Nothobranchius furzeri: one gene and its partners. The protein of the gene in region 2 interacts with the protein of the main gene of each other region in a biochemical or structural test. Links are inferred from orthologs where the notes say so. Each region holds a gene or a part of one and is shown on either strand. Other genes may lie near its edges.

What was found. The genes of interacting proteins can lie anywhere in the genome.
Region 1: the proteins of rnf4 (region 2) and sp1 form a complex in vitro, tested with the Homo sapiens proteins (2 studies listed by BioGRID, with this or other methods). The link is inferred for Nothobranchius furzeri from reciprocal best matches to the Homo sapiens genes RNF4 and SP1.
Region 3: the proteins of rnf4 (region 2) and ube2wb form a complex in vitro, tested with the Homo sapiens proteins (2 studies listed by BioGRID). The link is inferred for Nothobranchius furzeri from reciprocal best matches to the Homo sapiens genes RNF4 and UBE2W.

The regions. Positions count from the first base shown.
Region 1 is NC_091743.1:62,039,720-62,043,166, forward strand, and holds part of sp1 (transcription factor Sp1), read left to right. Parts: coding exon 1-542; intron 543-1,972; coding exon 1,973-2,114; intron 2,115-3,333; coding exon 3,334-3,447. UniProt on the Homo sapiens protein: Transcription factor that can activate or repress transcription in response to physiological and pathological stimuli.
Region 2 is NC_091741.1:64,325,236-64,328,990, forward strand, and holds the start of rnf4 (E3 ubiquitin-protein ligase RNF4), read left to right. Parts: upstream 1-1,354; 5' UTR 1,355-1,500; exon of another isoform or gene 1,501-1,545; intron 1,546-3,755. UniProt on the Homo sapiens protein: E3 ubiquitin-protein ligase which binds polysumoylated chains covalently attached to proteins and mediates 'Lys-6'-, 'Lys-11'-, 'Lys-48'- and 'Lys-63'-linked polyubiquitination of those substrates and their subsequent targeting to the proteasome for degradation.
Region 3 is NC_091747.1:53,051,246-53,054,900, reverse strand, and holds part of ube2wb (probable ubiquitin-conjugating enzyme E2 W-B), read left to right. Parts: intron 1-1,242; coding exon 1,243-1,345; intron 1,346-3,655. UniProt on the Homo sapiens protein: Accepts ubiquitin from the E1 complex and catalyzes its covalent attachment to other proteins.

The DNA.
Region 1 (3,447 bases), on a different chromosome or scaffold from region 2:
CTCTTCTTATGGAATTGCCACACAGAAGAGTAACGGATCAGGGAGCAGAACGTTCCAGCAAAACCCAGCCTCCTCTCTTGGTGTCCCAATTCAGCCAGACAACAGAGCAGAGCAGCAGCCTCAACAAATCCTCATTCAGTCTCCTCAGGTTATTCAAAGTGGAGCACCTCTTCAGACCATACAAGCCAGTACCGTTGCAAGTGCAGGTGGTCAGGTGTTTGCAGCTCCAACACTCAGCCAAGAGGGGCTTCAAAATCTTCAGATTATGCCAAACACAGGGCCTATCCTCCTGCGCACTGTAGGCCCTAATGGCCAGGTTAGCTGGCAGACCCTTCACATCCAGAGTCCAGCAGGTGCACAGATAACACTAGCCCCAGTGCAGTCTCTGCCCCAGCTCGGGCAGACTCAAGGAGCTACCGGAGCTGGAACGGTACCGGTGCAGATCCCAAATCTTCAGACCATAAATCTCAACTCACTTGGAAGCACAGGGCTGCAGATGCATCCTCTGCAGGGAATCCCCATCAACATCACAGGTGCATCAGGTTAGACCAGCTTGTTTATAAGTTTCTCATTATGTGTCTCAATATGCTTTATAATAACCTCCAGTCAACAGTAGGACCATGCTTTCTATAACTCCTGAGTTATGGAAAACAAATTTGTGTCATTTCTATTTAATTAGCCCACATTTTATCATGACTGTTTACGAACCATTTATTTCCTAAATATGATAAAATTTAGATGCAAAAAGAGAAAAAGTACATGCAAACAACAACAATGTCTCAGGATTAGTATCTTTAAAATGAGGTTTCGATGTTTGGTATCGCTTCACTTTGCATGCAAGTTAAATTCTGGTTAAACCAGTTCTACTATCTGAGTTTTCCCTGAGCCTTAAACTGTAAACAAGCTGTTTGTGTTCGATTTCTTCATCTGATAGTTAAATTACACTGAAGGCAGTTTGGCATAGTTACTGTATTACACAGGGTATCCGCGGGTCCTTAAAAAGTCTTAAATTGACTTTTCCAAATTTAAGGCTTTGAAAATCCTTAAAAATGACAAATAATCCTTAAATACAGTTTCCAAAGGTCTTAAATTACCAAAGACCCAATAAACTAGACTGTTTTATTTCTATGACATTTTTGTGAATTTCTAGTTAGTGTTCAGCATTTTTTGTGTACGATGTTGGTGTAAGCGGAACCGCACATATTCAGTTGGTTGTGAAAGGGAGCTATTTTTAGATGAGCACATTCGCTGGTTAAGCTAGTGGGAGCTTACGCCATGGAGAAGTGCAAGTTTAATGGTAACTGGATGGCTAATCCCACGTTCGTGGCGTGGTTAGGAAATTATAGCAGAAATTACATTTTAAAAAATAGCTTAAATTTGGTCAAAGTGGCCTTAAAAAAGGTCTTAAAAAGTCTTAAATTTGACTCACTTCAACCTGCAGTTACCCTGATTACAGCACAGGACCATTCCCCTCTTCTCTCAACCCTGTTTGTGTTTGTTGCTCCTAAATTGAGCAAATTCCAACAATTGTGAGAAATCAATTATGGAATATCTGATTCACCTTTCAGTGTCAGAGCTGACTTTACACTAGCATTTACACAAGTGTGGAGGGTAAAAAAAAGCGTAAACATTCGTATCATTCAAATTGGTTGAATGGTTTTGTTTACAATGGTACAACAAAACACTATAATCCTCTCCAGTTAGCCAGCTATGTGGAGATGAAGCTGAGTTTTTGGTGTTCAGTCTAAGCATGCACTTCTCTTCCCATGGATGCAAAATGCATTGACCAGTTGTTCAGCCATTCTGGCTAAGCTGCAGACAATTAACGGCAACTTGTTATTGTCATAAAAAATTAAGTAGAAACCTTGCTGAAAAGTGTGGTTGTTTTCTATACCGAGTTTGATAAATAAAATTTCTTCAGACAAAGAAAATCCTCAACACTTTTTCCCACGCTCTTCCTTCATGGGTGTAGGTGAGCAGCCGTTGCTGACTGCTGGAGAAAGTTTGGACAGTAGTGCAGTTATGGAAGATGCAAGCATGAGCCCACCCTCTCAGGGGCGCCGGAACCGCAGAGAAGCCTGCACTTGTCCTTTCTGCAAAGATGGAGAAGCCCGGTGAGTGACTGAAGGTTATGTTATAATGTCATCCTGGTCAGATTTTAATGTAACTCTGAGTTTTTATGTTCTTATGATGAAATGTTATTTGTAATTAGTTTTTCACAAAAACAAAACATGCTTTTATCTTAAAAAAAAACATTTCGTAAGTACATTTGTCAATGCTGGTCAAAAATGTCTATTTTTCTTTCATTACATGAGATTTAGTGACATCTAGTGGTGAGGTAATTCAGGTTTGCTGTTTGAAACCATTTAATTGCTCATGTGTTTTTTTTTTAACCCTCTCAGGCTCAAAATAAGTTTGGATAAAAGGAAGTGTTGTCCAAGTGTTTTGACTGTTATACGTTGTTTATTCATTTTCCACTATGGAAATCACCAAGAGACGAGTGAGCATTGGTGATGATAGAATGAAGAACTAATGTTTTAAGTTCCTGCAATCTTCCATTACCCCAAAATTCCACTACCTCCGCTCCGCCCCCGCCTTCCGCAGCCGCTCCCTTCCGAACTCAATTTTTACTGGTACCCGCTCCGGTGCGGAGACCTGAGGTGCGCAAACGGGCATGCGCGGGATTTTCGAGATCTTGCAATACAGTCCGAGCAATAAACGTGGAACTTAGATCCAAACACCCGACCCGTTGTGTGGGAGCAGCATCGAAATGAACTGTTTAATCTGCCCATCATTTGTGTTGAGAGATCAGCAGTGCTTGGATCAACAAAGTGTGACTACTTTGATTGTAGAAACTGTATTTATGGCTTATTTTTGTGCATTTAAAGTTCAGCCGCCATTGATAGTTGTTAAAAGTTGTTAAACCTGTGCATATGAAACAAAAAACGCCTTTTTTTAATCAATTTATTGTGAAATAACGGAAGCTGTGTTTACTCCTTTTCCTGTTGGGCGGTTGTGGTTTCTGTCCATTGACTGCGGAGGTGCTCCGGCGTCCGGCAAAAATAGAATCGATCCTATTTTTGCCGGATGGCGGAACGGCGGGCGGCGCACTGCGCCGCACGGCCACAGTAGTGGAACAGCTCTGATTGATTACAACGGGATCGATTTTGCTGCGGAGTTCGTGCCGGAGCGCAGCGGAGCGGAGATAGTGGAATTTTGGGGTTAGTGTCCATTCTTACTTCGATACAGAGGGTAATTTGACCTAGAAATTTGGAAGCAAATAATTCTTTCAAACTCATGTTTTGGCAATTGTTTATTTTATTTGTCCAACAGAGACCCAAATAAAAAGAAGCAGCACATTTGTCACATTAGTGGCTGTGGGAAAATTTACGGCAAGACATCCCACCTCAGAGCACATCTCCGCTGGCACACTGGAGAACGTCCCTT
Region 2 (3,755 bases):
GTTTTGGGTGAAAGCTGGGTGGACCAAATCCACCTGAGAGGATTTAGCTTTTTAATAAATTCAGTTTAAAATCAAAAGTGAATGATTCTGTTCTTACAGACCTTTATTTGACAACTTGTCTTTTCAGTGCTGCGTTCAGGAATCTGGCTCGGTGAGGCGCTCATGAAGGCGCGGCCCTAAAGCAGACCCTGCCAGGTCACGCTGGAATTTTCCAGCCCCCGATCAGGTTTTCCCACAATGCACTGGGTCACCATACAGTACTGCAGCTCCCACAATGCTTCTGGCAGTTGTTGACAGATAGGTGGATAGATATGTAGCTTTCCTTTTGTCACATGTTTCCAATCTCATAGATCTTTACTTAAAACATGAAACTGATTTTGTTTATTTCATGTTTATGTAAACATTCGTGCATCTGCCTCAGCATCTTTGACCTGGCTCTGGCACCACTGGACCTGTTTGCTTCAGCTCATCTTTTGTTGAATGTTTTTGCTTCATTTGTGACAGCAGGAAGCTGTGAAAGTTTGCGTGGCTGATGTCATTGATGCATTTGTTGATTTGACTTCAAATAAAATCTGAATGTTGAAACTTTTATGTTGACCTGTTTGAGCCATCTGTTCCTTGGTCAATACAAGATGTTTGTTTTACTCTGACAAATCCTCCTTCTGGTTAAGAACCATATTGTCAATGCCTTCTGATACAAAATTAAATCATAAATGATTTTAATCATCTCAGAATAAATTTTTTGATCACACCAAAATGTTTCAGTGGTCTGATCAGAGTTTTTCTGGACAAGCTCTTCAAATAAAACTTGTTGAAAGTTTAAAAAAAAATGCATATGTTCAAATGCGTTTTGACTATGGTTGTAAACAGTGATGGTTTAGATCTGGACCCCATGTGGTTCAGATGTAAATTCAAGGTGGTTTGTGAGGAAAATATAATCAGTATTTTCTGCTGTTGAGTTTACCATTTTAGGTTCAAAATAGATCTGGTGAGTATTTCTAATAATTTTAAATATTTTTGTATGATGGAGAACTTTGACGCAAATCACACTTCATTTTAAAAATATTATATGCAAAATTTACTGATATTATTTTTACTTTATTGATAACATTATTTTTGTAACAGAACCTTAGTCAGAGTGATTGTAAGTTTAGTCCTGGAATAGTTCTATCATGTTGGAGGCTTGATTTTGGCATCAATAAAATCAGTTTCAAACTGAACCATTAAATTTGTGTACTGCATTGATTATTCAAGAAAATGGAATTGGAGATAAATATATTACTATCAAATAATATGATTTTCTTAAATTTGTTTTAACACATTTTTAACGTCGCAGTTCCATCTGAACTTTGCAGGGGGCGCTAGTGAGCTCACCGTTAGAGTACAACTTCCGGTTGTAACCGCAGAAGGCGCAGAAAGTAAAAGCTAACATTACAATCGTTCGTTTCGGTGTTCTGGGGCAGAAGTAGATTTTCTTGGACCGCGAATTCTCCGTTTGAGGTGAGACGTGTCACGTTCGAGCCGAACACATGAAAACACCTGGTGGTGAGTGAGAGAAGCTAACTGCTAACCAGTTGTGAGAGAAGCTAACTGCTAACCAGTTGTCTCTGGTCGTGATGGTAAAACGAAACTCCATCCGTTTAGATTTTGGACCGAAGCCACCTGTTTTTGTTATTTTAGTGACACATTGACTTCCTTGAAGAACACTTTGAAATTAATTGCGCTTAAATGAATACGCCTGTAAACAAATACCATCCTCAGTACTGTAGATTTAGATGGAAGTACTGTAGATTTAGATGGAAGGTATCAGGTGTGAGGAGTTTCTACTAAGGTGTAAAGATACTAGTGAGACCAGCCATGTCTGCTTTAGAGACAGCGTCCACAAGGTAAAGACAGGAAGTAGAGTTAGAGGTTGCGCAGCTTAAGAAGAAAGGGGCAGCTTATTGTGGTGACAGAGGTGGTATGGGTGTGCTGGTACTAAACAGAATGTTAAGTTAAAAGATTAAAACAATGCCATCTTGGGAATTTCACCCAAGGAAAATAAAATGGTACCTTTAGGCGCACATAGGTTCAATGCTCTCACAAAGGCGACAGAAACGAGGTGTACGCAAAGTCCACAATTTTATTTCGTGTTTTGTTAAAAGGACAGCAGTTTAAACTACTAATTTAAAAATAGAAAGGGAGAATTAAAACAAGGAAAGAAAATAATTAGTGTTACCAGGCTGGAGCTTACCAAGGTAAGGTGGACCCACTGGAGGTTCTAGCAACAACACAAACTAAATACCAATAGTCACCCAAAGCACCAGTGAACAGTCACACAGATGTGAAGGGGGGCCCACACCAACTCGCACACGGAAGAACCACCGCCACCACCCTTGGCTCCAGCCTGGACAAATAAAAGTTAAAAACCACAATAAAATAAACTCTGTTGAAATACAATAGTGCTCCAAAATCCTCATGCGTCAGAGGTGAGAAAAGGTCTCCCTTTCCACTCCAACCAACATGCTGGGCGGGAGAACGTCTGGCGGAGGAGCACCAGCACTGGTTAAAATCCTCGGTTATGCTCTGAGTTTACATGCAGCCAATATCCGGGTTATGATCGGGTTAAGGTCGGTATTCGGGTTTCTGAGTTGATCAGAATAACCCGTTTACAAGCATAATAAATAGAAAGAGTTACCCCTAACTTGCATAACCCGATTTAAATGCGGACGTTGGGGTAGCGTCAGGACGTATGGACTACGTCAAGACGCAATATGCGTCATATTTCGCTGTCTCTGTACTTTCGGCTGTCAACAAAAGACATAATGTTCATACTTTTCACCAGACCGATGAAGACAGGTTTCCTCGTCACTCCAAAAGTGTGGTGCTGTGCCGCGACTCGCCATGTTGCTCCCATCTTGTTTACTTCCAGTGTTCTGGCGCATACAAGACGTCTCGCTTCTCAAAAGACCAAGATCCCTTGCGAACAGAGCATGCGCAGAACACACGCTTTGAAGGGGATATCCCGATATGTGTTTACACGACCAAACATTCGGGTTAGAAAAGGGTTACCCCAGGTGTAGTAACCGGGTTTTTAAAAACCCGGTTATGAGCATATCCGGGCTTTTGGCGGTGTTTACATGGCCGTGCGGAACCGGGTTATTGTGAATATTCGGGTTTTAAAAGGGTTACTGGCTGCATGTAAACGTACAGTGAGCGGTGGCCCAAACTGCTCCCGATAGGTCGGTCCGCTCTGTCGAACCGCTCCTCGGTTGTTGAGGGAGAGAGGGGAGGGGGGTCACAGCAGTGACTCAAAACACTTTGTCGTAGCATCACAACACCTCGGGTCCTAAACAAAAAAGGTAATAAACCTTATTAACCCAGAAAAGAATATTCATACTGAGCGTGCAGGGAGGGGGCGCACCGCACATACATACCACGCCGACAGCAGTAGATCACCTAGAAGGCAAGCACGCTTCTTTTCCAACAGCATGCGGTAACGTTACATTATGTTAGATGTTTTGGAGTCAGAGAGGACAGACTGAGTTGGTTTGGATATGTCCAGATGAGAGACAATGATTACATAGGTAGGAAGATGATGAGGTTAGAGTTAGGGGTAGACCGATATTGCTCATGTAACGGGTATTACAATTAAATAATATGAAATAGGTATTGAACTATTGTCTTGACAACTCTGGACCAGTATCAAAAGTTCTAGGTAAGATTATGGAGCCTTGAAAGGATCAGCAGAGAAGGAACCACACAATGACAGATAA
Region 3 (3,655 bases), on a different chromosome or scaffold from region 2:
ATTTTGTCTTAAAACCTTCACCTAGTTGTTGTAATCAATACCAAATTATCCGAGACCACGACATTACCAAGATGAGAGAGAACCAAGACCAGGCCCTTGACCATATTAAAGATTAAAGTCCCATAGTTGTCACTAGGGCTGCACAATATATCGTAAATATATTGTTATCGCGATATCAGCTTGCACAATATGCATATCACAAAGAACAGATAAATATCGCAATGAATGATCAGCTCAAATGTTTGCTACACATAATGCATTCTGTCAATCAAATGGAAGCCTGATGTTTTTTTTAACAAATCAAATAGAGCTCTTCACCCATTTGGCCAAAAGGGTGGGTTCTCATAGATTAGATGCCCGCCCCTGAGGCGGACAGTACTTAATTTTGATGGTTAGCAAACACATGAGTTAGCTTTGTTCTGCTCTTTTTGCTGATTCTGCTTTTCCTGGGATCCACTGATTACCTTTTCTTGTTCATTATCTTTTTCCCTTTCCTCACATCTTTTGCTTTTCTCGTTTTTTTTTTTCTTCTTTGTTTTTGATTATTTTTGTTCATGAGATAAGTTTTTATTTATTGCAAGTAATATTGTTATCGCAATTTAATCATTGTTATCGAATATAGCCGGTTTTCCTAATATCGTGCAGCCCTAGTTGTCACACACACTTGTGTGGGGAGGCGCGGTGTGCTGCAGACACGGCTGCGCTCGGGAACTATTTCGTAGTTTAACCCCCCAATCCAACCCTTTAAAGCTGTGTCAAGCATTGGGTCCCATTTTTAAAGGCCAAGTAAAAATGCCTTTGTTACCAAGACGAGACCAAGCACATATAATATTAATATCAGATAAGGAGAAACAGCCAGCTGCTACCACTTCAACTTAAGGACAAACTACCAGAGTCCCAAAAAGAAAAAACACCATTTGAAGTCACAGACACCAAAGATGTTTAGGCATAGAAAAATGTGATTGTTGATTTGTGCTCTCCCATTTACTCTGGCAATGCGCATTCCCGTATTGGGGGGCGTGGCCTAGCCGACGGAGGTATGAGAGTCTTTTGACTGTGTTTATATGGAATGGCCAACTTGCTGTGCTGATTTGGTAAAGCAGCTTCAATACCAATGGTTCAGAAAATATGATTACCACCCCTGTAACGTTTATATTCGACAGTAAACATTTGGGTAACCTGTGTTCTTTATTGGGGCACCGGGGGAATGTTTTAGTCATCATTGTCCTTTTTTGTTTTTAGGTGGATTGTAGATATGGAGGGAGCGCCCGGTACACTCTATGAAGGAGAGAAATTTCAGCTGCTATTCAAATTTAGTAGTCGATATCCTTTTGATTCACCTCAGGTAAGAGCAAAGGGTGTGTGTGTGTGTGTGTGTGTGTGTGTGTGTGTGTGTGTGTGTGTGTGTGTGTGTGTGTGTGTGTGTGTGTGTGTGTGTGTTCGCATATTTAAATGGGTCCTACAATTCAACAACCACTTTTACCTTGTTGTTGAATAGAGGCAACTTGAGATGTCTATGTAGCGTACCAAAAAGTCTGCAACTTGTAAATTAGTAAAGTTGTAATGGTCACGGAGAAACGGTTCATCCTGACAAAAACTGGTTTAACGCGTCATAAGCATAGACGCACCTCCCTACATTAGCATGCTCCAACCCACTTCAACATCCGCAATGAATAAACTTTGATCTCAGTAATGCTAACTGCAGAAAAATGCTAGCCCGAGCTACTGCTAATGTTCTTATAAACAAAGGGAAAACACATGTAACGTTCCAGGATGTACAGGGTATATCCAAACTTATAATGAATGCCAGATAGATCTGTAGCTTTCTATTGAATAATATGGATATTGTACACTGCTGTACAGAGATTCTAGCTTGAGCAGTGTCATTGAGCCATTAAACCAGCCAATCAGCATGCAGCTCATTTAATATTCATTATCAGAGCTCCTAGGGCATTGTGGACCCCAACAAAGTGTCATGTGCTTTATATGGCGCTTGCACACTAGCGTCGTAACGGTCGGGGTTTGGTCGGGCAGGATGGCGTGAGTTTGGGCTGGTATGGTCGGTGTAGTGTTTACATATTAATCCGAGGAACTTCTCAAGATGCGGAAATCCCCAAGCCTGTGGGGGGCGCTTAATACGCGCGGGAAAGTCCGTTCCATAAGGTACCAAAAGGCGGACATGAGCTGTGTTGCTTTTGGAGACTCTGAACCACATTATTTTATTAATTTACTCTGTGTCCCCTCATAATCTTGTGCCGCCCACCCCCTGATTTCTCCCCTGAGCAGCTGTCTGCTTGCGAGGGGCAAGAGCTCCGATGCGGAGAATGGGAGCATGCATGCACACACACACACTCAAACAAAGCTATTCTTTTCTCCCGCTCCCACACTTAATAGCAGCTCCGGATCGGCAGCTCCGTGCAACAGACAGAAGTTAACTCAACAGCATCCAGCATGAAAATGAACCGCACATGCAGGAACCCCCGGCTGGCTGATTCTTCTCGCAGATCGGAGGCGGTAGGCGTAATTTCAGCCGGCCAGTCAGTCCGTAGTGTCGCCTCGGTCCCAGTCTGACCGCTGGGGAGAAGGTCTGGGAAAAAGTCGCCTCGGCACTGAAAACGCTAATCGGACCGGTGTGTGAAACCAAATTCCGGTGCCGTTCGGTACCTTATGGGCCCGTACCTACGCTAATGTGTAAGCGCCAATAGAGGCTCAAAGAAAAGCTGTTGTAGATCCACGTTTGTGGATCTTTATCCATACCATACCATACCAAGTTTATTTATAAAGCACATTTAAAAACAGCATGACAGCTGACCAAAGTGCTGTACAGTAGTAGTAAAAGGAAAACCCCAAGATAAAAACAAGATAAATATCATAAAAGAGATAAAAGGGATAACCTAAAAATGTAAAAGAAACATACTAGAGTAAAAACAAAGTCACAATAAAAACAATGCTAAAAGGTTAGCACATTTCAACAGGGAAGATTCTATAACAATAAAAGCTTGGTCATTGATCAAAAGCTAAATAGTAGAAGTAGTCCTTCAGTACAGACTTGAATCAACCCAGTTCTGGGGCCTGTCGAACACTAAGGGTGAGAGCATTCCAAAGTTTAGGAGCAGCGAACACAAAGGCCCGCTCCCCACGAGATTTATACTTCATTTTTGGGATGTACAAAAGTAAATGATCTGCTGATCTCAGGGTTCTGGGTGGAACATGAGGCATGAGCAGTTCTGACAGATGAGCAGAGGCTTGACCATTCAGGATGTTGTAAACTAAGGTTAAGACCTTAAACTGGATACGATATTTAACCGGCAGCTAGTGCAAGCGTGCAAGGACAGGTGAAATGTGACAGCGTCAAGAGGTGTTTGTCAGGAATCTAGCCGCTGCATTCTGCACTCTCTGAAGCCTTATCCAGCCTAGTTGAAAGGGTCACTCATTTCTTACACTGTCTTAGCTTCAGTTTTCTTTTATGATGTTTTGACAGTAATGTTTGAATTCAGCATCACTAGATGATCCGATATTGGCACCTATCTGTTAAGAGTTCTGCAGCGGGGGCACTAAAGCCCAGAGGACCACTTTTCTAAACTTAAGTGGAAAAACTTTTGTGTCTACCTTATGGGTGGCTGCATTAATCATTTTAAAAGCTGTCTCTGTGGTT